Alligator mississippiensis: one gene and its partners. The protein of the gene in region 1 purifies or fractionates together with the protein of each later gene. This does not show direct contact. Links are inferred from orthologs where the notes say so. Each region holds a gene or a part of one and is shown on either strand. Other genes may lie near its edges.

Region 1 (7,090 bases):
ATTCATTCATTCTTGTGATGCTCTCTGCAACCCTCAAATGGAAGACATCTGAGTTCTGTTTTATTTTTACTATAGGACAAACCCTGATCTTTTGGCCTGTGTTTAAGTAGCACAAATCCTCAGGGATCAGTGGGCAACAAGTGGAGATTGGCATTAAAGTGCAGACTTCTTTGTTCACTGCTTGCTTATCAGTAAGTTCAGATCATATGTAGACTGGTTTAAATTAGTTGTTACTAATGAAAGGACTGCACACAGTAAGTATATCCATGACCTTGGGCCCAATCCTCTGTGCATGGCCATTTAGGTATAGTGAGTATGTACTTCCTCCAGGACTCTCATTGACTTCAGTGGGCTATATATTTTGCCCCATAGTAAGTGTTTGCAGTATTAGGCACAGAGGCTGCCTATTCACCACATGCTCAATGGGGAAGGGGGCGTTAATTAGAGCAGGTCCCAGAAAGCTGCTCTAATTAAAACACCTCATTGTCACATGTATTAAGCCCCTGCAAGTGTAAAAAAGGCCACAGGTCACTTTATCTAAACCTTGTTCGATGAGGTTTAGGTAAAGTGCCCGAGCAACAATTTTTAAACCTGCGGGGGCTTAATACACGTGATGGCGGGGCCACACTGGACCATTCTAATTCAAATGTGAACCAGTACATGCACCCTAAATTACAGTGTTTGCATAGAAGCAATAATGCTATTTTTAGTAGTCAGATGCCTCAGAAAAGCAGGTCACTTGCTACTTAAGAGTGCTTGCTTCCTAAACTGTGCTTTAAAAGCTTGGGTAGGCGTCTGTACACATTTACCTTGTCTTCTGCCAATCTATGTCCATTTCCATAAGAACATGGGAAACCATGAATCGGCCATCAGAAGCTGAGAGTCATTTTCATCTGCTGCCTGCCATTTCCCCACATGCAGGGTCAGAAAGGCTGCGGGTAGCCAGCAGGCAGCTGTCAGCTCATGGAGAGAAGCCTCCCCTGTACATTTCAGCTGCCGGCTGTCATCTGAGAGCTTTAAATGCCAGGTTTGCTAAAACAGTTCCAGACCTCAGACCCTTTCGGCACTGAAAGCCTGTAGTTCTTGGGATCAGGAAGCTCAGGTTATTTATGTTTCAGATTCAGACACGCTAGGAGGATTGCTAGTACTGTTAGGTGTCGCCAGCTGAAATTTGCTGTTCTATCAGTCTAGGTTTTGGGTTGGGAGAGACTAGGTGGAGAGTCTGGACACAGAAAGTGCTCTTAATGTCTGCATGAGCATAACTAACTTCAATTCTTGCCCTTGAGACAGAGCACTGTTTAATGTGCTGCATGAATGATTGATAAACATGCTTTGGTCTCCTTCACAGTTCATTGCACCAGTTAGATGATGATGATGCACATGTAAGTCACAGTTAGCTCTACCTTATATACTGACTAAACCCCACCCCCCAAAAGTCAGTCCCACTCAGTGCTAACAAAATGCATGTCCTGCATGTGAACTGACAGTATTTTTACCTTCCCTCTGCACCCCAACTAAGAAAGCTCAAGAAGGGTCTCCCCTGGATAGGAAGTAGCTTAGGATTCCTCCAAAGAACTCCTTACTCCTCGCTGTCTTTAATTGATCAGTGTATAAGCCAATCTCCGAAGGTTTGCCTTGCAATTCTAGCAATAAATGGCTTGGCTGTATATATGAGTAAATATGGTATTTCCCCGAACTTCCCAGAATGAGTCACTACCAGGAAGTGTTCAGCCAAGAACTCCAGATCCTGAATCTACCCAGTGTCTGTGTGTTGCATGCAGTGACTGTTCCAGCAAGCCAGCTGCAAAACCAAGCCTTTACCTCACTGCAGCTGCCTTTGTCATACACGTACCTTGTAAAATACCCGTGTGAGATGATTCTCAGAATAAGCCCAGCCTTCCCACAAAACGACACAGCTACAGCCCTGCTGCTCGCAGCTGTCAGACCAAGGGTTGTAATTGTGAAAAATGTGCATGTGGCAAAACAACACATTTGGGCCACGACCAGATGGCTTTAAACTTAAACTGATTAAAAGGCCCCATTTATAGCTGCACTGCTAGTGCCACATTAATTGGTAGGAATGCAGTCGCATCCAGGCCTGGCAAGACCCCACTGCCAGAACAGGTGGTCGCCTAGGGCAGCAAAATGTTTAGGAATCATGGGCACTGAGGGGCACATGTTTTCTAGTTTGCTGTGGGCACAGAAAGCCACAGCACTGATGCTAATGTGAGAGGGGAACAGTCAGCCAGTCACACTTTGTTCCAGTAAGCCAATAATACTGTTCTGCAATACCCCCGGGGAAGTGGAAGTCTCTCTCATTCATAGCACTGATGCAAGCAGCTCAAGAGAGCAACGTGTTCAGTCCAAGAGAAGGAGGAGGGAGTGACAGGAGTGTTTCAAGATGCTCTGCAGGAGCCTTTTCTGACAGTGGTATGATATAATAGGCTGCAGAAAGAGTCCTCACAAGCTAGTAAATGAGAGTTGGAATGGGCGCTTCTCAAAAGTGGAAGGAAAGAACTACAGCAGTTTCCGGGCTTTTTCTTCTGTCATGACCCGGCTTCCAGCTCACACCCTTATTTCCAGTCAGCTTGTGAGGTCAATTCTGGTCTGATCCCAACCCTCCAAATGAATATCTGCCAGGCCCCAGCCTTTAAGTGGCATGACCCTAGTGAGGTCTCAGCCTATACGCTGGGAACCACTGGACTACAATACTTTAGGGCAGTAGCTCAAAGTACTGTCAGTTTATTGGAATAAGTATTTTGGGTTATAGCTGTCAACTATCCCCATACTTTTGTAGCTTAGGTTAGAAACTTGGAAAGCAGCCGTGCTGAATGAGACTTATAGGTGACAGAGGGTAATAAAAGTAGGCATAGGTTTGCAACTGGACAGGTCTGTGAGACCCAGCTGAAATTAGAGGTGTTATCAAATGGCAGTAGGTAATGCTTACTAAAAGCACTGATGGTGCCTGTAAACTTTGCTTCATTTTAAAGTCTATGGGGAGCAAATACGCCAGACTATCAGGAAGCTGAGAGGTCATGGGCTCTTCCAGGTGTAACCAAATTCACATGCTGAAGTCCCAGTTAAACTCAGCATTCAGTGGCAGGCTCTTTACCAACATGTTGTTACAATGGGAGGGAGTTCAGAAAAGAGTAGTACAAACAATCACGCAGCTGGAGGAATTGACTTCTGAGGGATGATTTAAATAGCTACATCTGCATAGCTTGGCTAAGTAACAATTAAAGGGGAATGTGATGGCAGCTTGCAAAGATTCACAGGGTAAAACAGATCTGAGAAGTGACTTAATGTTGTACCCAGGAGCATAAGGATGGATGATAGGGTGAAATAAGAAAGGAAAGTGTAGGTTAAACATAAGGAAAGACTTTCTGATTATGAGATCCTCTGGACTTGGGAGCTGTGGCAGCTGCTTTTCCTAGGACACAGCTGGAGAGAGCATTACAGAATGTATTGTGGAAACCAATGCTGCCTTGGCAGAAAGACAACTGGGATGATTCAGTGTCTCTAAAAAAGTCTATCACAGTGTCGCCAGCTCCTATGATACTTGGTGTTTTACTCAAGTCCCAGCAGCTAGATGCATGTGAATGCATGAAACTGTCCGTTCTCATTTCATACCAAAAATAAGTTTCAAACTGTTAGCTTTGCAGGGGCAAGCACACGCAAACGTTGAGTGTGCCCTAAAGACAGAATACCAGAAAACAAAAACAAAACAAAAACATATTTAAAATCAAGGAATTGTTGAGTTAACCTTGGAAGTTTCTGGGTGGTCTCAATCCTGATATGCTAAGGGTGACAGTGTCTCTTTTAACAAAATAAAACAAAAATGAGAGATGCCTTTTCCAATCTTGCACAGTGTACTTAGAAATCAGACTGGATTTTCCCTACTCTTCCTTAGCTGTTTAGTTTAAAAGAAAGCAGCCCGGCTTCCTAGGGGAATGACATTTTGAGGGGAGTTTTTTTAACTTCAAACTGGCTTTCCTCTGTTACTGATTCACTCCCCCACAGGGAGATTTTCAGGCTGAGGCTTTCCACGTCTGCTTTGTAATTTGCATACATGGTTCACTTCCTGCTGCAGAGCCTGTTCTACTGCTTACCTGGGAGAGGGAGAGTGTCGTAAAAGAGGGAAAAGACAGCCAGGAGAAAAATAGAGAGAGGGAGAGGAGAAGAGTGTGGGGGAGACAGCCCTAGTGTCTCCCTCTCCTCCCTGGTCAATCCAGATCCAGCCCTTTCTGGCCCCGAGGTAAGCTCTTCTAGAGATACTGCTCCTCCCTCTCCCCTCCCTTGCTTGTTATTCACTACTGACCCACTTTGTGCCTCTTGTTTTTCTTTCTGGCTTCTAACTTCCTCCAGCTCTACCTATTTTTTCTCCCATAGCAACTGGACAAGTTTTAGCTATTTTGGTTACACTGTTATAGCTACTTTGCAGCTGGATAGCAGGATTATTTTGAGTAAATGCTGGGAACGGACAACACTCCAGCAAACAGTGCTTAGATGTGATCCTAGGTATTGTATGGCCACCTGAAAATCATGCAGCCGAGGCCTGAACCTGGCAGGGCGCTCCACAGGTGTATAGGCAGGAGGGCAGGTTACAAGGACCCCTTCACCTCTGCACTTTGTGCCCTGCCATACTTTGTGGTCAGCCAGAGATCCTGTCTCAGAAGAGAGGCATAGTAGCTCTGTGTCCCAGGAGCTTCCAGCAGCATTGTGGCCCAGCTGGGGAAGCATGATTTTATACAGCTTCCTTCGTAGGCCCACACTTACTGCACACAACCTCCTCCGTGATGAGGGGTTGTGTCTGATAATCTAGGAGTCACCCAGAGAGAAGGAATCATTATGGAAAATGATGAAGAAATAGTCTCCTAGGTAATACAGTCCTACTGGATGTTTAGGACAGAGAAATTGTAAGTGATCTGTTATTGTTAAAAAAAAATCCAACATGTAAAGAGTCCAAGAGGAGGAGGACAAGGAGGAGGGAGTGACAGGCCTCGCCTGTCTCATTAACTTCCTTTTCAGCAGACCCAGTTTTGTAACTCCTCACTATCTCCTGCTGACTAGTGAGAACTGACTCTATCCTACCAGCCACAGCTCTTAACATGCAGGAATCCAAGTACTGAAAAATCAAGCCCCTGCTTAGATTTAAGACTGGTCTATGCTTAAAATTTATATTAGCAGAGGTAAGTCAGTTAGGGGAATTATTATTTTTTTTTATTATTATTATTATTATTACCAACAGAGCTATGGTGATACAAGTCCCAGTGTAAACAGTTATACCCACAAAAATGCTTTTATTTGTATAACTTATTTCATGGAGGGAACCAGCATAGGCTTCCCTGGCAGAAGTACTTTTTCACTGTGATTCGTCAGGCTTATAGCAGAAGAATTTGCTGGCATATAGGTATACAGGACACAGGGGCCCAGATGGAAGGAAATGACAAAACACTTTCCTGTCTCCCTTTGCTCAAACAAAGCAATTGGGGCAGGGAGAGAAGTTGGCAAACCTGAGTTCTTCCTGTCATCCCTTTATGTTTGTCCAGCACATTGTTAAACATGCAGCCTAGCGGATATTATCCATAGCACTGCTTTATGCATTTGACTTTGGGAACGTATTTGGTTTCTGCAAACTGGTGTTCAAGGCAGTTGGTTGCAACCAATGACTACAGAGGGTATGTCTGAGAACACCGAACTGGCCACTCCTCACTGTCAGATTGTCATAACAGCTTAGAGCACAATAGTACAATGTCACAGCTGTGCCTTAGATAATACAAGCACTTGTGAGGGGCTCAGGCTTGGAAAGAACTTTTCTGTTTTTCTTTTTATCTACCCATGACGACTAGGTGCAGAGAGCGACTGAGAGTACTAGTACTGTGTTAAGGACACGTGGCAGTATCTGCCTAGTTGAGCTTGATCATGTGGCATCTTTAGGTACAGTTATAAAAAGGATTATATGATGTAATTGCTTGCCACAGCAAGGGACTGGATTCAGTGACCCAGGTTTTTCTGTGTTCTTATGGGAAGCTAGAAACCAGCTTTCACTATACAACTCTGTTTTAGTAGCCTTGTCGTTTTGGTGCAGAAAATTGATCTGGCCTAACTATTTAGTCTGGAGCCAAAAGAGACTGGATCCGCCAAGTGTGAAGATGATGCACCAAATACCCCTAAGTTACAAGTGCAATTGTGATTTCTTACTTGTACTTTGGTCTTCCTTTGTTTCAGAAGTGTCTTGTTGCTACCTCATCAGTAAAGCATAAGGACCAGGCAGAATTCCAGGCCCTAATACTCGGGAGAGCACAGGGACAGCTCCATGACTACTTCCTCAAGAGAGGCAGGGCAGCAACTTTAAGGGACAGAAGGCACGTCTATATGTGCAATTAGTGCACCTGAATTTTCTGCATATTATTGATCCCGATCCCCAGGTGGCAGGGAGACAGCTGTCCCTGCAACCAGCACAGCTTTCCCGGCCACATGGAGATTGGATAGGTCCCAATCCTCATGTGGCAGGGAGACAACTGTCCCTGGAGCTGGCACAGCTCCTCCCCGCATTGAGGCTTAGCCAGGCAGGTGCAGGCTCCTGGCTCTCTGGGCTGACCAAGAGCAAGTTGCTCCTGGTCAACGCCTATGTGTGTCCTATGGCACATTAGCTAATGCACCACTTATCTAGTACCTGTATATGTTGGTACTAGCAAACGGTGCATTGGACTAATACAATGCACAGTAAGTCCCATGTACGTGTAGATGGTGATGCTTTATTGCACATTAGGTTAGTCTAATGCACAGTAAAACTTTTTGTGTAGATGCTTCCAGAGACATAGAGTAAGGAGAGCCGTTGCCCCCCTTATTTTATCCAGGATTGTTGGGTAGTAATGTGAGCTCTTTCCTTAGTGGCTAGAGAGCACCAAGAGATTATGACTCAACACAGAATGCCTTTGCTTTTTAACTTGGTGCAGTACCTCAATACTGCATAGGCAAAGCCGAGGAGAGGGGCTGTCCAGTATACTGAGAAGACCTTCCATTTCAAAGCATCTCATAAAAGGCAATCTTTTGATAAGCCAAGAAAAAATTACATTAAAATCAATAG
Region 2 (7,545 bases), on another chromosome or scaffold:
GGTTCACATTGTCTACTTAAGACTTCAGGAAGGCCTTCGATAAGGTATCTCCCCCCATACTGGTGAACAAATTAAGAGGCTGTGACTTGGATGATTACACAGTCCGGTGGGTGGCAAACTGGCTAGAGGGTTGTACCCAGAGAGCAGCGGTGGACGGGTCGGTATCGACCTGGAAGGACGTGGGCAGTGGGGTCCCACAGGGCTCGGTCCTTGGACCGATACTCTTCAATGTCTTCATCAGCAACTTGGACAAGGGAGTGAAGTGTACTCTGTCCAAGTCTGCGGATGTCACAAAACTGTGGGGAGAAGCGGACACACCGGAGGGCAGGGAACAACTACAAGCAGACCTGGACAGGTTGGACAAATGGGCAGAAAACAACAAAATGCAATTTAACAAGGAGAAATGCAAAATGCTGCACCTAGAAAGGAAAAATGTCCAGCACACCTACTGCCTAGGAAATGACCTGCTCGGTAGCACGGAAGAAGCAGAAAGGGATCTCAGAGTCCTAGCGGACTCCAAGATGAACGTGAGTCGTCAGTGTGACGAAGTCATCAGCAAAGCTAACTGCACTTTATCGTGCATCAGCAGATGCATGACAAACAGAACCAAGGAGGTGATACTTCCCCTCTATCGGGCACTGGTTAGACCACAGTCGGAGTACCGCGTCCAGGTTTGGGCGCCGCGCTTCGAGAGGGATGTGGATCACCTGGAGAGGGTCCAGAGAAGGGCCACTCATATGGTTAAGGGCTTGCAGGACAAGCCCTATGAAGAGAGACTGGGACACCTGGACCTCTTCAGGCTCCACAAGACAAGGTTGAGAGGCGACCTGTGGCTGCCCATCCATTCATCCTGGGGGCACAGAAGGGCATCAGTGAGGCTCTGCTCACCAAGATGCCCCTGGGGGGGTTACAAGAAATAATGGCCACAAGCTAGCAGAGAGCAGATTTAGACTGGACATTAGGAGGAACTTCTTCACAGTTCGAGTGGCCAAAATCTGGAACAGGCTCCCAAGGGAGGTGGTGCTCTCCCCTACCCTGGGGGTCTTCAAGAGGAGGTTAGATAGGCATCTGCCTGGGGTCATCTGAACCCAGCACTCTTTCCTGCCTATGCCAGGGGTCGGAGTCGATGATCTATTGAGGTCCCTTCCGACCCTAACATCTATGAATGGGAACATCCAGGGTCACAGCTCTACTTCCCTCAGGTGGAGAGGGCTAGCAGGACAGAAATGCCTGCCTTCCCACACAGGGATTGTCACAGGCCACGTGGCCCCTTACCAATGTCTGAGAGCAGCGTCAGGATGGCTTCCTCCCGCAGGCCGCAGCAGTTCTCCAGCTGGTTCAGGTACTGGAGGGAGCAAGGCAACATATCACAAATCTGCCGCACCCAGCCTACACATGCTACTTGCAAGCAGGAGCTTCTGTAGGGTCGGGACCTTTGCAGAATGATCAACTCAGACGTGCTCCAGACCTACCCTTTCCCTTCTCTGCCAGCTCCTCCAGCCAGCAACCCCTCCAGGGCCCATCCCCATATCTGAACACACTTGGCCCAACCAGCTCAGGACAAGGTCCCCTAATCATGGCCCTATCCTCTGAGCAAAATCTGTGCTGGGGCTGCTCACAAAGATTAAAAAAAAAAATTAAAAAAAAGATTGATCCAGCCCTATGTGTTTTTCCGCCCTGTGACCGAGAGGGGTTTATCAGTTCCCCACAGGACCCCACCCACTGGCACAACCTGCTCCATGACGTTCTAGGCCCTGCTCACATCCTGTTGTCTGTCTCTTGCACACGCCCGTGTGGGCACCCCGCAGGCTGACCCACACTGCCTACCCAGTAGAAATGGGAAGTGTTTACAGACCAAGGAAGGGGATGAGAACTCGTGCAGGACCAAGCCTGCCAAGGGCAGGGGAGGTGGCAGCAGGCACAGTCCTGGTGAGTGCAGGAAGACATGATGGCAACAGTGCATGAAAACTCAAGGGAAGCCTTTCATTTCTGCAGTGCTCGATGGCTATCCCGCCCATCCAGCCAGGGGCCCCACCTTGCGGAGGTCTCCCCCCTGGCAGTACTCCATGGCCAGAGGCGGAAGGTCATTCAGTGCCAGATTTTGCATCCCCTTGGGGACCTCACGGGCAGCAACCACGTTGGCGTGATTCAGCCTAGGGGAGGACAAGAGGGTAGAAGTGTGTGATGGCAGGAACCGACTCACCACAGGTTGCTCCTAGACAGGGTGCACGTGCAAACGCCTGAGCAATAGCAGCTGCACAGCGGAGGCAGGTGCACCCTGGGACAAGGACCCTGACCTTTTCATGATCTGTATCTCCAGGCACCACCGCTCCCGGTTGCGCGGGCTCAGCTCCTGGCGGCATTGCTTGATGGCGATCTGCTCCCCCGTGTCCTGGGCGGCACAAAGCAAACGCGCGCAACAACAACGGGTGAGCGCCACGGCCGTGCCAGGGCCAGCCGCCGAGCCCGCCCGGGCCATTCGAGCGACACGGCTCGGCAAGCGGCGCTCGCACGGGCCCGGCGCCGCGCGGCGAAGGTTACCAACTCTCCAATCTATCGTGGGAGGTTTCCAGCGTGCCCGCGACACGACGCTTGCGCGCATCGGTTACAGGTCGCGGCGCGCCGACTTTATGCCAGGAAGGCAATCGCACGCAGCCGCTACTTTTTAGGACGCTCCTGGACTACCACGCGAATCGGACCCCGTGTTTAATGAACGCGCTGACATTTGTGATGCTGGGAGCCCCCGGGGGGGATACCCAGGTCCTGAGGGTTGGCGCACCTTGTTCTGCCAGCGGATGACGTTGCCGAAGCCGCCCGTGCCCAGCCGCTCCTTCATCTCCCACGAGCCGCACGTCTGCGTCTGCAGCGATGGCGGCCGGCTCATGCTGCCGCTGCCGGGACAGGGCGGCCCAGCCAGGCCGGCTCAGCGGGGGCCGCACTCGCGCCGCGGACACGCGTGGGCGGGACGGGCAGGAGGGGGGGGGGGGCCGCGGTCTGCGGGGTCGGATTCGCTTCGCGCGCCGCTTCCGCACTGTGCCTGGCTCTGACGTCACGGCGGGGCCCGGCCACGCAGGCGCCGTAGCGCGGGGAAGGAAGGCGCGCTCGGCTCTCGAGCGCCCCCTGCGGGCCGGAGGTCGCGCTGCGCCCACGTGTCCTGCAGGGAGCGGCGCTGGTCCGGGGGAAGCAGCTGCGGGCAGGGCAGGGCAGGGGCGGTGGGTTGACGACAGCGCAGGCCCTGCTGCACCCAGGGACCCCGGAGCCACACAGCCCACTGGGTGGGGTGCCATGCAGGGTGGGGTGCCAAGGCAGGATGCGGTGGCATGCAGGATGCAGCGTGGCACAGGGTGTGGTGCCAGCTCGCCCCAGGAGCCCGCTGGCCCCAGGCAGCTAGTGACATGAGCTGCCTGCGGCACAGCAGGAGCCGGACAGGGCAGGCCACGGGCAGCGTTATGCTCCTGCAGGCCTGCCCTGCCTGGGCATCCTTCCAACCCCCAGGGCTACAGCACAGGGCCTGGGTCTCGCTGGCGCTCAGAGGGCGGCAGGTCCTGCCCGGCAGCCACCCAGCACCTGCTCCTGGACTTCGTCTACCCCCGCTTCCCCCTCCCGCCACCCATCCCTGCCACTTCTCACTGAACCTAGCCCCGGAGACTGGTTACCTGGGGGCCATCCGGGGCCTCATTCCACAGGGGTGACCTAGGAGGCCTGGGAGCCGCAGCCCTGAGTCACAGTTTCTTTTCCTCCAGCTAGCTCCGTCACTTGTTTGTCTTGTTCACACCCTGCAGCAAGAAAAAGGGGAAGTGGAGAGTGGAGGCACTTAGAGCTTCTCAAATGAGCTTTCACAGGGACAAAGAGCCCACCTCACTTGGGCCACCAGCGGAGGCTAAGCTCCCGCTCCTGTGAAGGCCAGTGCCCCTCCACTGTCTTCTGGCCAGGTGAGCTCCACCTGAAGCCAGGCAGATAGCTAGGGCCAGGGTCTGCCACACCTGCATAGCACCTCAGTCATGCCAGCTGAGGAATTCCCCCTTGATGAGCAAATCGGATGTGATGTGTCCATTCATTTGAGGACCCAGAGGAATGCAAAAGGGGGTGGCTGATTATGAAATTAGGAAAGGTTCGGGTATAGTAATGGGTAGCATAGGCAATGCTGACTTACATCACTGGGTTACTGGAAGGATTAGCTATTGTCAAACGTTTCCAAAAGAAGTTTCTACTACTACCAACTACTGGTCTGGAGGGGGGTCCAGCACAGATGGCACCAGCTGCCAATTACTGGGGTCATATTGGTAACATGTCCAGGCATGACTGCCAAGAAAGCAGCATCTCTGCGGTGGTAGGATCCGAACCTCGGAGCAGAGGGTAGCCTCAAGTTCAAGGAGGCTGGTCAACAAGGGGAAGTGGCTGCTGTACTCGCATGGGAGCTCAGGGACTAATGACATCCACAGATGCCGGCGCCCACCAGCTGAGCATCTTCAGTGCTCTGGGACAAAGGATGCTCACAAGCGCTCCAAGTACACCAGTACACCAAGCAGGGCAGGCCCCTCTTGACCCATTTCTTCTATGGTCAGAGATTATACACAGGAGATGACCTGCCATAGGATGTGAAATCAAGGGCTAAGAAGGGTCAGGTGGAAAAGGAATGTCAGAGAGGACTCAGGGTTCACTTTGAGAAAGGAAAGAGCCACATTTCATGTTGGACAGAGAGGGATACTGCTGGAAGGTGGTAGCAAGAAGAGGCCTGAAGCACTTCTGTGAGAAGTTGCTTCTTTTCTCAGAGGAGATAGGGCCAGCGAGGGGTTTGAGAGGAGGGTGGAGAGCAAGTGGTGGCTGGCGCAAACTGCAGAGTGCATGGAAATTATACTCCTCAGTCTGCCCAAGGGAAAGGAAATCAGGAGGGAGGGAGATCCAGGAGGCTTATAGCTAGCAGCCTATAAAGAGGCAGGGCCCCTGCTTACAGCCAGTGAAGAAAACAGGACCTTTGCTCAGTGGAGGAGTCCAGTTTCTCCCCGTCACAGGAAAGAGTGAATCCAGCTAGCATCACTGCTTTTCCAGGTGCCAACAAGTGCCAGGCACCTAGTTGGCAGCACGTAGGAGGAACTGTAACTGCAGCTGGGCAAGGTATGGGAGAAAAGAGTACTTTCCTGGGGGTGAGAGTCACAGAGGATCGTTTTTGGAGGGAGGGTCCCATCTATGTGCTAAGCGAACATGTCATGTACAGTGGCACTTCCTCTGACGTCCATTGGACTGTAAACTCCAGAAGGAGCACAATGTTTGCTTATACTTGTTAACAAACAGTGATCTGGCATGATCTCCATCCAAAGCATCTTTAAATTGCAACCTGATACCATCCTCCCCGCCCCAAAACACAAAGGGCTCCACTGTAACAGAGACAGCCTCCAGGCCTGGCACAGGAGATGTGGGGCACCTGTGCATACTGACTGGGTGCCCAGGACCCCATGGGATCATTACTTCTCCTTTGCTCCAGAGTCAAACTGCCAGTTCCCACAGCAAGAGCAATCTGGCTCTCTGCACGGACGCATGACACGAGGGGTCTCTTCACGCACATGGAGCTGGGCAGCAGGCCCCGCTGGCCGAGGAGATGCATTCCACACGGAGCAACATACGGGAAACGTGCAAATATGCGGAGACACAGGTGCAGAGGGAGGCATAGAGGGAGTTTATCAGAAAGGAGATATGTAGGCAAGCTAAACAAGCAAAAAAACAAAGATTACTGCTGCAGAGAAACACTGGAGCCAAACCTTCCCTGAGATGCAGGCACAAAACCTGCATCTGCTTTCTGCCAGGGCTCCTCGCAGGACATGGCTTGTCAGAACACGTAACACAATACCAACCACAGGCACTGTCTTCCTACCCAGAGCAGACCCTCAGCTAGGCCCCTAGCGCCGCACGGGTACACCCTGTGCTCAGCTTGGGATGCAATGTTTGGAATACGCCCTCACCATTTTCCTTGCAGCCTTCAGGAAAATGCCAAGCAACCCAGGCCAGCTCCACTCTCTTGAAGCATGAAAAGGTCAGCTCTAAATGGGCAGCGACTGCTCGGAAACGAGCTGCCCAAAACCGCGACAACCGTAACTCATTGCCAGCTGGTCCTCACAGGTCATAGTGAACCTCAAAAGCCGGTCTCTGTGTCTCACAATGGAGGTCACTGGCTGGTCCCTGCCCATCACTGTAGGGTACTGCTAAGACAAAGAGGTTCACTGAAGCTGCTTTTGCCCTACCCCATGCAAGGCAGCAATGGCACTTCCGTTTCTGTGATGTTGTAATCCTGCCCTTGGCTCTGTGGGGCAGCTCTGCTGTTCAGGGGCTGCCTCAGTTATTTCTACTTCAAAATCCTGCTTTGTCTAATTATTAAATGTACTTTCTCACAAGGGACTGAACAGCTGGGCTTGCCTAGACTAGTCTCTCCATGGTGGCTGCTGTCAACATGCCAGAGTTCCCCTGTGACCAGTACTGCAGGGATGTGGGTAAATGACAGAGTTGGTCACACATTTACAGTGAGGCTCCGAACCTCTTGGATAGGGGGGGGGACAGAAATTTAATGAGTAAGTAATTACAAAGAAGGAAAAGAGGAATTAGCCAAAGCACCAGACCCAGACAATGTGCATTTATGCCACGGATGCCCTTCCTCTCATCCAGTCATTGTCTTGTTCCCATGGTGGTTCAGAAAAGCTCCCTGTGCTCGACTCCCCACGCTCAGAGACTCCCTGTTCCCTCAGCCCCAGGGAACGGCCTGTGCTGGGCAGCAGGTAGCTAAAGGGCAAGACAGAGTACAATAAATAGCTGATGAGCTGCATCACCGAAAGAAGGATTCAGCTAAGTGTGCAGTGAAAACCCCCACAAATGTGACACAACGGGCATGGAGAGAAACCAGCTGCTGCCTGCCCAGCCCCCAGCTGCAGTCCAGCAAAGGATTCAGCTCCTGGTCGGCTGGGATTCCCCTGCGTGGCCCTCCCCAGATTCTGGATTAACCGTTGGAAGTTAATTGCTCTTGTTTCTAAAATCCAGATCCCAACCAAACAAGTCAGAACGTGTCTGTGTACAAAGACAAAACTGCTCCCTGCATCTGTGTCCTGTAGACAGAGAAGATTAAACATTCCACATCGCTTCAGGGAACCAACTGCTCCAGGGGTATTCGGGCCAGGCAAGAGCTCAGCTGGGGCAGGAACTGGCAAGCCAATGGGAAAGGAAAGCTGCTGCCCCCTGCCCCGCCCCAGCACATCACAGAACAATTGTGTGAAGCTCCCACTAATCCCAAGTCAGAGATCATGGAGCGGGGCAATAGAGGGAGGGAAAACAAAGGGACAGGAATTCAGAGCCAGCACAGCCTAAATGGAGTATCCAGGAAGCGTCCCAGGCTGCAGCCTGGCAACACTGTAATGCTGTTCCCAGGGGAGAGGGATGTGTTAATGATTCAAAGCCTCCCCGCTACCCCGAGAACTATTTGCTGAGCAGTGCAAGCTTGACCAGGCTGAGGTCTGCTAGAGAGACTGCAAAGAGGACTTCCAACAGCACACAGGCAACATTAAA
Region 3 (7,185 bases), on another chromosome or scaffold:
TGACCTCCCAGCGCCGCACCCCCACCCTGCAGTACCTGCTCCAGGGCTGGCATGGCTTGCTGTCAGAGGTGACATTGGAGAAGCTGCCGTCCGGGCAGGGCTGGCACGTGGGGGGCGCATCCTCCTGGGCTGGAACAGAGCCGAGACGACCGCAGGGGTGAGCGTCAGGCAGGCGGGGGGGCAGGAGAAGGTGTGGGGCACGAACGAGGACACCCCAACCTGTCTGCCAGGCTCCCCCAGAGCAGGTGCAGCATGCATGCCTGCCTGAGCAGGGCCGGCTGCACCCCCTGGGAGGTCCCTGCACCCGCTCTGTGCTTCGGAGCCGATGGCCTGTTCGCCTGCCCCTGCTGGGGCTGCTGTGACCTGGCGGTGGGGAGCCAGGGTTGTGCAGGGCAGCATGGCCCTGTGACCTCTCGGGTTGCAAGTGCCAGGCCGCACTCACCTCTTGGCACAACCCCGAAGCCTGGCTTGCAGCGGGGGTTCAGCTTGCAGGTCTGGCACTGGGCGCTGGTGCAGTGCATGCCCACCTGGCAGCCACATGTGACATCCTGTTTCTCACTCCCCGGCGTCTTTACCACCAGGCCAACATCTGCCAAAGGAAGGGAGGGAGGGAAAGGTGGGCCACGGAGCCAGCCATGGCCAGGCCCCTCCTGTGGCAGGGGCTGCTGGAGCATGGGCAGGGCTGCGTGACTGCTGCCTGCCTGGCAGACAGCCCTGTGCCGGCACCTACTGGGGTCGCAGTATCTGTGGGGCATGCAGTGATTCTCCTTGGTCCAGTGGGCCTGGAAGGACCCCACCTCGCAGGGGGCACAGGTGGACCATTCCAACGCCTCGCTGCATGCAGCCGTCACCTTCTCTCCTGCAACACACAGCACCCGCGTTTGCTTCCTGCCTGGTGCAGCTGCCCATGGAGCCCAGCACCTGCCGTGCCCCCAGCACCCAAGGAGGTGCCACTGGGCACAGGGGGCGAGACCGGCCAGCTCTGCAGGCAGCACCGAGCCCAGGTCCTGGCCCTGGGGCCAAGGTAGCCGAGCTGGTCCCCTCTGGGCCGAGGCTCTGGCGCAGGGAGGGGCAGGGAAGGGATCTGCTCTGTACCTGGGGCGCAGCGGTTGCAGCACCTGCCCTCGTGCACGTACTGCCTCTCACTGCATCGGATGTCCGTCCCAGCGGCCGAGTGCTGGAACCGAGCAGAGCACAGAGCTCAGCCACCGCAGGCCTGGCTCCCACCTGCCCCAGACCTGGCTCCCCTCCCCTGGACGGTGCCGCCTGGCACGGGCCGTGCACCCTGCGCTCGCTCTCACCCTGCCCACATAACCACAACCACTGGGACCGGAGCTCTGCCGCCCCCGCGCCGCCCGCGCCTCCCTGAAGTGGGATGCCAGCGGTTCTGCTGCGGCGGGCACATGTCAGTGCCCTGACCACATCTCCTAGCAGCTGGCGAAGGCAGGGCCCACGCGTGTCTGCCCCGCCTGAGCAGGCAGCCAGGGCAGGGGCAGGGCTGGGAGCCCAGGTGGTGGCTCAGGGCTCAGCCTCCTCCCCTGGCGGCAGTGCTGGGCCCCCGCCTGGCAGGCGGACCTGGGGTGCCCCTTCCCTGGGGTGAAGCTGGGCCAGGCTCCCCCAGCAGTACAGCAGGGGTTGTCGGCAAGCAAACAACCCTCCTGGGCCGGCGGTGCAGCAGATGCCCCTGCAGCTGCCCCTGCCCTGGGGCTCAGCCCTGCCAGGCACCAGGGTCCGGGGCGGCGTGTGCCCTAGCCGGGGTCCATGGGCGGTTCTGTGGGGCTGGGGCTCTGCCCTCAGGGAGGGAACTGCCTGATGGGGCCCCGGGCAGGATGGGACCCTGGGTCACGGTCAATGCCTCCGAAAGGGGAACCGAGAGACGCCTCCGCTTGCCTGGGATCCCCCGCCGCCTACGCGCAGCCCTGTCTGCTTCCACCCCTCCACCCCAGCCCGTGTCCCTTCAGCCCCCGCAGCCTGCCCCTTCTCCACGCTCCTGCCCCGCACGCAGCCCGTGCCCGTGCCCGTGCCCGTGCCCAGCCAGGCTCTGCGGCAGCACGGCTGAGCCCTGTCCCCTGCAGCCTGCTTCGGCCTGGGAGCGAGAGGCAGCCGTGCTGGGGTCTGGCCGTGCTGGGAAATCGAGGGATTCCCAAGCTCCGAGCAGGGCACCGGCACCGGCACCGGCACGCTCCGCTGCCCAGGCAGGGGCCCCCGTGTCGCCAAAGCTGGGCCAGGCGCCTTCCCTGGCCCACGGGAATTGAATGAGACAAATCGGTGCCCTCGCCGGTGCAGGGCAGAGGACCTGGGATGGCCACGGCCCCCCAACGCCTCACTGGCACCCATGGGCCTCCAGGTTGCAAAGGGATCCTGGGGGCCTGCCCAGCTGCCCCGCATGCCCTGAGCCCGTCTCTGCCCCACAGGCATCGAGGTACGGCTGTCCCCGAGGCACGGCCCCTGGGAACGGGGCTCCCCGGTCCAGCCGAACACCAGGCAGTGCCCAGCCAGCGCCGGCTCTCCCCCCGCCCATTCGCCGCGGCCTCTGCGCCAACACCCCTGCCCAGGCAGGCGCCAAGGTCCCCCCTCCCCGCTGCGCCCCGATGGGCCAGGGCTGAGCTGGGGGTCCTAGCAGAGGCTGCCAAGCGGCTCGAAGGCCTCCCTGGCCCGCTCCAGCCCCTGCACCGGCGGCCGGGGGGTGCGTGGAGCCCGGCAGCAGCCTGGCAGCCGGGTCTGGCTCGTGGGTCGCACCTGGGGAGGGAAGAGAAAGTGAAACTCACGCCCAAGAGGCCTCGGCAGAGTAGCCAGAGGAGGCCGAGCAGACAGCAGGGCTCCATGCTGCGAGGGACACTCCTGCGCCGGCGGGGCGGCTACCTCTTGTACTTGCAGTCCCGTGGCCGCCCAGGAAAGGGCTGGGGCTGTCCAGATCCAATCCGCGCTGCAGGGCAGGGCAGGGCAGGGGGGGCCCAGCCCCCGCAGAAAAACTCCCCGTCTGCTTCAGCCAGGGCTGGGCCACGCAGCCCAGCCAGGATTTCCCTTGGCCCCCGGCCAGCGAGGTGGGGTGAGAACAGGCCTCGGCAGGCTGGCAGCCGCAGCACCCATGCGGGGGGACGCGCCGCAGCATCCCTGAGCCGGTCCCGGGTGCAGCCCAGGCACGTCGGGCTGCGTTGGGTGCTGCCACCCCAGTGCGTGCTCTGCTGTGCCGAGCGCCCGGCTGCGGGGCTCGTGGACACAGGCCTGCTCCTCCTGTCTCCCCGGTCTCCTGGCACAGGGAAGTCCGGCAGGACAGCTCCGTGTGCCAGGCAGGCCTGGCCGGGAGCCACGGGGCATGGCCTCCTATAGCTGCTGTGGCCCCCGTGGCCTCCTCCTCCCGCCTGCCCTGCAGGCAGCTGCCCGGCCCCAGCGGTCCCGCGCTCCGCGGGGCCGGCTTGGCCTGCGCTGTGTCCTGAGCTGGGTGCCGGCGCGTGCTCAGCATGGGAGTTTCTCCTTGCCAGGGCAGGGCGGTTCAGGAACAGGCGCCCCGGAGGGGCAGGCACTGGCCTGGCTGCAAGCCGGGGCGTGGCAAGGCCACGACGTGCTTGCCCATGTGAGCAGGGCCTCGTGGCACTGTCCCACAGATCCTTCTGCCCCCCATTTTGCCCCTAGAGCTGTCCAGAGCCCGGGGATGATCCCCTGCCCTCACCAGAGCCTGTGGCTCCCCTGGGCTCCTGGCAGCCCCACATGCCCGTGTCCGGCCGTGTCTGCCCGATCTGGTGGCAGGCGGGCGCCCTCGCATAGCAAGCAGGGGTCCGCACGGGGGCACGAGCAGCCCTGAGGTGTCATAGCATCATAGACTCATAGAAGTCGGGTCGGGCGGGACCTTGTAGATCTTCAGGTCCGACCCCTGCCTGGGCAGGAGAGAAACCGGGCTCAAGTGACCCCAGGCAGGTAGGCATCGAGCCGCTTCTTAAAGACCCCCAGGTAGGAGCCAACACCACTTCCCGTGGAAGTCGGTTCCAGATCCTAGCCGCCCTGACTGAAGTAGTTCCTACAGATGTCTAATCTGAACCTACTCTCCCACGACTTGTGGCCGTTACTCCTTGTTATCCTGGGGGGCGCTCGGAGAAACAGGGTCTCCCCCAAACCCTTCTGGTCCCCCCTAGTGAGTTCATAGACAGTCACCAGGTCCCCCCTCAGCCTTCTCTTGTGGAGGCTGAACAGGTTCAGGTCCCGTCACCTCTCCTCGTAGGGCCTGCCCTGCTGCCCCCGGATCGTGCGGGTGGCCTCCTCTGGACACCCCTTGCTGCCAGTGGAGGTTGGCCAGAGCTGCCACTGGGGATGGTGGGGGCAGTTCTCGGGCTTTTCTAGCCAGTCATCCTGGAAGCAGAAGTGCTGGGTTTCAGTTCAGCTTCTGTCTGGGGACTGCTGCGACATGGGTGACGCTGGGACCAGGGGCTGGGCATTCTCAGGCCGTCAAAGGGGCTGCGTCATCAAGAGCCCCCGCAGGGCTGTTCCTGCCTCCAGGACCCTGGGCACAGAGAGCCAGGACGGGGCGTCCACAGGGCCTGGAGCAGAGGATTCCCCGGGGCCGGGGACCGGGCAGCCCCGGGGGAGTTCCACGCACCGCTGACGAGGAGGCTTTCCCAACCCGCTCCTACTTCCCTCTGCAACTTTCCAGCTTCTCCTGAGAGTGCAAACGCCAGGCAGGAAGGGGCAAAGTGCTGCGCCTGCCTGCCCGTGGGACCCTACGCGGTGCCAGGGCCTGTCAGGCTGGGGGGACCCTTTCCGCTCCGCTCTTGCCCCGCATCCGTGCTTGGGGGGCGAGGGTCGGTCCCCAGCTGCACTCTGCCCAGCCACCCACGCGCGGACGGCAGGCCCAGCAGGAGGGCAGCAGCCTCGCCACCCACCCCCTCCCTCCTCCGGCCACAGACTGCCCACAGACACCCATGCGGCCAGCAGACAGGATGCGACGGGGCTGTCCCTGCCCGGGGCATCAGCGCAATGGCCCCATGCCTTTCACGTGGCTGCAGTGCGCCCGCGGGGCAGTGCCCAGCAGTGCCCGTGTCCCTGGCCCCGCGGCCCGGTGGCTGTGTGAGGGTGAGCCGCGCTCCCCTCGGCGCCGTCCCTCTGCCGGGGCCTGTGGCAGGGCGGCGTGGTGCCCTCCCCCGCCGTGGTGCCTGGCCCCAGCCCCTGCCAGGCGCAGCTGGAGCGAGGCAGGAGGGGAAGGGAGGCTCTGCCGGCTGCGGGCCGCGTCACTTCCCAGAACAGCGTCTCAAGTGCCAAGCAGAGGTCCCAGGGGTGTCTCCAGACCAGAGCGGGAGGGAGGGGCTTTCCGGGCCTGGGCTCGCACCAGGGCCTGGGAAATCCCGCACCGCCCTGCGGCTCGGCTGCCCAGGCAGCCTCTGCCGGCCGGCCGGCCCTCGGCTCCCACGGCCGCCCGGCGCCCGAGGGCCCTTGTGGGGGCTGTTTCCAGCCCGCCAGCACCAGCAGCCCCCCGCTGCGTCGACGTAACCGCCCGCTCCAGCCCCTTCCTGGCAGAGCAGTGCCGGGGCTGGCATCAGGGCCGTCCGTGCCAGGGCACCGACGCAGCGGGCCCCTTGGCTGTCGCTGGCACCACGTGGCCAGCGGCAAAAGCCTCGGCTCCCGGAGTCAGGGGATGCGGGAGGCGCTGTGCAAAGTGCAGCCGCGCAGTGCCTGCGCCCAGCCCCGGGAGCCCGAGAGTTGTCTCGCCTGCGCCCCCCGCACCGGAGCCGCGCGGCTGGGAGCGGGGTCTCGTGGTGCCACCCAGTGGCCATCGCGGGGCGCAGCCGCCACGGACGTGAACTTGGGCGTTTGCAGGCAGGGCCCACGCGAGCCACAGAGCAGGGAGGGGAACTCCCCCGTGCTGTGCCCGCGGCCGCTGTTGCCCTGCCGCGGGGTGGAGAGGGCACAGCTGCCCCCCACGGGGACGTCTGCCACGGACAGTCCAGTGCAGAGCAAGAACATGGCGGAGGCAGGAGTGGCAAGGAGCTGGGGCTGAATCTGGAGCAGGGATTTGATCAGTTTTCCAGGCCCTGAAGGGCTGTGACAGGATGGAGACGGCTCTTCTCTGGGGCCGCAGGGGGCAGGACTAGGAGCAAGGACACAAAGGCTGGCGGGGGCACTCGTGGCGGGGTGGCCGTGGCCCAGGCCCGGGTTACCAGGCTGGCAGGGGTGCTCTGTCTGTCCACCTTCGGAGTCGCGGGCCCAGCCCTCCACGCCACGGGCCGCTCTCCTTCGCGTGGGGAGGCTACAGACTAGCCTCCCAGGCGGGGAGGCAGCGCAGGCGTGGCGCGGGGGTGCAGCTCGCGGGACAGTGGCGGGCCGTGGCCGTGGCCCGGTGGGGGAAAGGGGGTGCTTGGGAGCGGCCCGCAGCAGCCCCTGGGGACTACATGCCCCAGCATGCCCCGGGGCGGGGCCGCTGCCGCACGGGCCGCCGGGAGCCGGAGCGCGCCTGCCATTTTGTCGCGGCCGCCCGGCGTGCGTCATGGCGGGCGGGCCACGTGACCGGGCCGTGCCGTAAAGCGCGGCACTGTCGCGGCCCCGCCCCCTGCCCCGTCCCGTCTCGCTTTCCGGCAGCGGCTGTGGGGGCGGTTGGCGCCTTTGTCCTCGCGGCGGCGGCGGCTCCGGGCCCGGCGGTAAGTGCGGCCGCGGCGGGGCGGGGCGGGGCGGGGCCGGGGGGGCGCGGGCCCCGCGAGTCCTTCGCCAATAAAAGCCTGACAAAGAACCGCGTCCGCGCAGTGTTGCCCTTTCTCGGCCTCCCGCCGCCTCTGCCGGGCCGGGCCGCGCCCGCCCGCCCGCCGCGGGGCTCCCGTGACAGGGTGTCCGGGCCGCGGGGTGTGCGCTGTGCGGCCGCGTCGTGGGGGTCGTGTCGGGACGTCTCGCGGGGGGGGCACTCCCTGCTCGTCCGCGCTGCGCGGAGCGGGCCCCGGTGGGCAGCGGCCCGGCCCGTCTCCTCCGCGCGGCGGCGGCGGCGGGGGGCGAGGAGCCGGACGTGGCGGCCGCCGCCGGAGCCTGCAGGGGCGCTGGTCCCCGCGCGGGGCCGCCGGAGCCCGTCCCCGGGGCGGGGCGGGGCGGGGCCGTGGTGCCGCCGGCGGCGGGCGGGGGGGCGGGCTGGTGTGAGGGGCGGCGGGGCGCGGGGGTCTTGTCCCGCTTGTCCCAGCGCCCTGAGGCGCGCGGGGCCCGGCCCGGGCCGGCGGC

What was found.
Region 2: the proteins of TRAF3IP2 (region 1) and IKBKB purify together in Homo sapiens (affinity purification with western blotting; 3 studies listed by BioGRID, with this or other methods). This does not show direct contact. The link is inferred for Alligator mississippiensis from reciprocal best matches to the Homo sapiens genes TRAF3IP2 and IKBKB.
Region 3: the proteins of TRAF3IP2 (region 1) and CD40 purify together in Homo sapiens (affinity purification with western blotting, with the first as the bait; 3 studies listed by BioGRID). This does not show direct contact. The link is inferred for Alligator mississippiensis from reciprocal best matches to the Homo sapiens genes TRAF3IP2 and CD40.

Annotation. Positions count from the first base shown.
Region 1 is NC_081824.1:97,061,383-97,068,472, reverse strand, and holds the start of TRAF3IP2 (E3 ubiquitin ligase TRAF3IP2), read left to right. Parts: upstream 1-4,064; 5' UTR 4,065-4,255; intron 4,256-7,090. UniProt on the Homo sapiens protein: E3 ubiquitin ligase that catalyzes 'Lys-63'-linked polyubiquitination of target protein, enhancing protein-protein interaction and cell signaling. Transfers ubiquitin from E2 ubiquitin-conjugating enzyme UBE2V1-UBE2N to substrate protein.
Region 2 is NC_081830.1:17,229,655-17,237,199, forward strand, and holds the start of IKBKB (inhibitor of nuclear factor kappa-B kinase subunit beta), read right to left. Parts: upstream 3,045-7,545; 5' UTR 2,885-3,044; coding exon 2,780-2,884; intron 2,393-2,779; coding exon 2,298-2,392; intron 2,154-2,297; coding exon 2,036-2,153; intron 1,346-2,035; coding exon 1,276-1,345; intron 1-1,275.
Region 3 is NC_081832.1:490,738-497,922, forward strand, and holds the start of CD40 (tumor necrosis factor receptor superfamily member 5), read right to left. Parts: upstream 3,021-7,185; 5' UTR 2,826-3,020; coding exon 2,769-2,825; intron 1,178-2,768; coding exon 1,096-1,177; intron 860-1,095; coding exon 731-859; intron 590-730; coding exon 443-589; intron 130-442; coding exon 36-129; intron 1-35.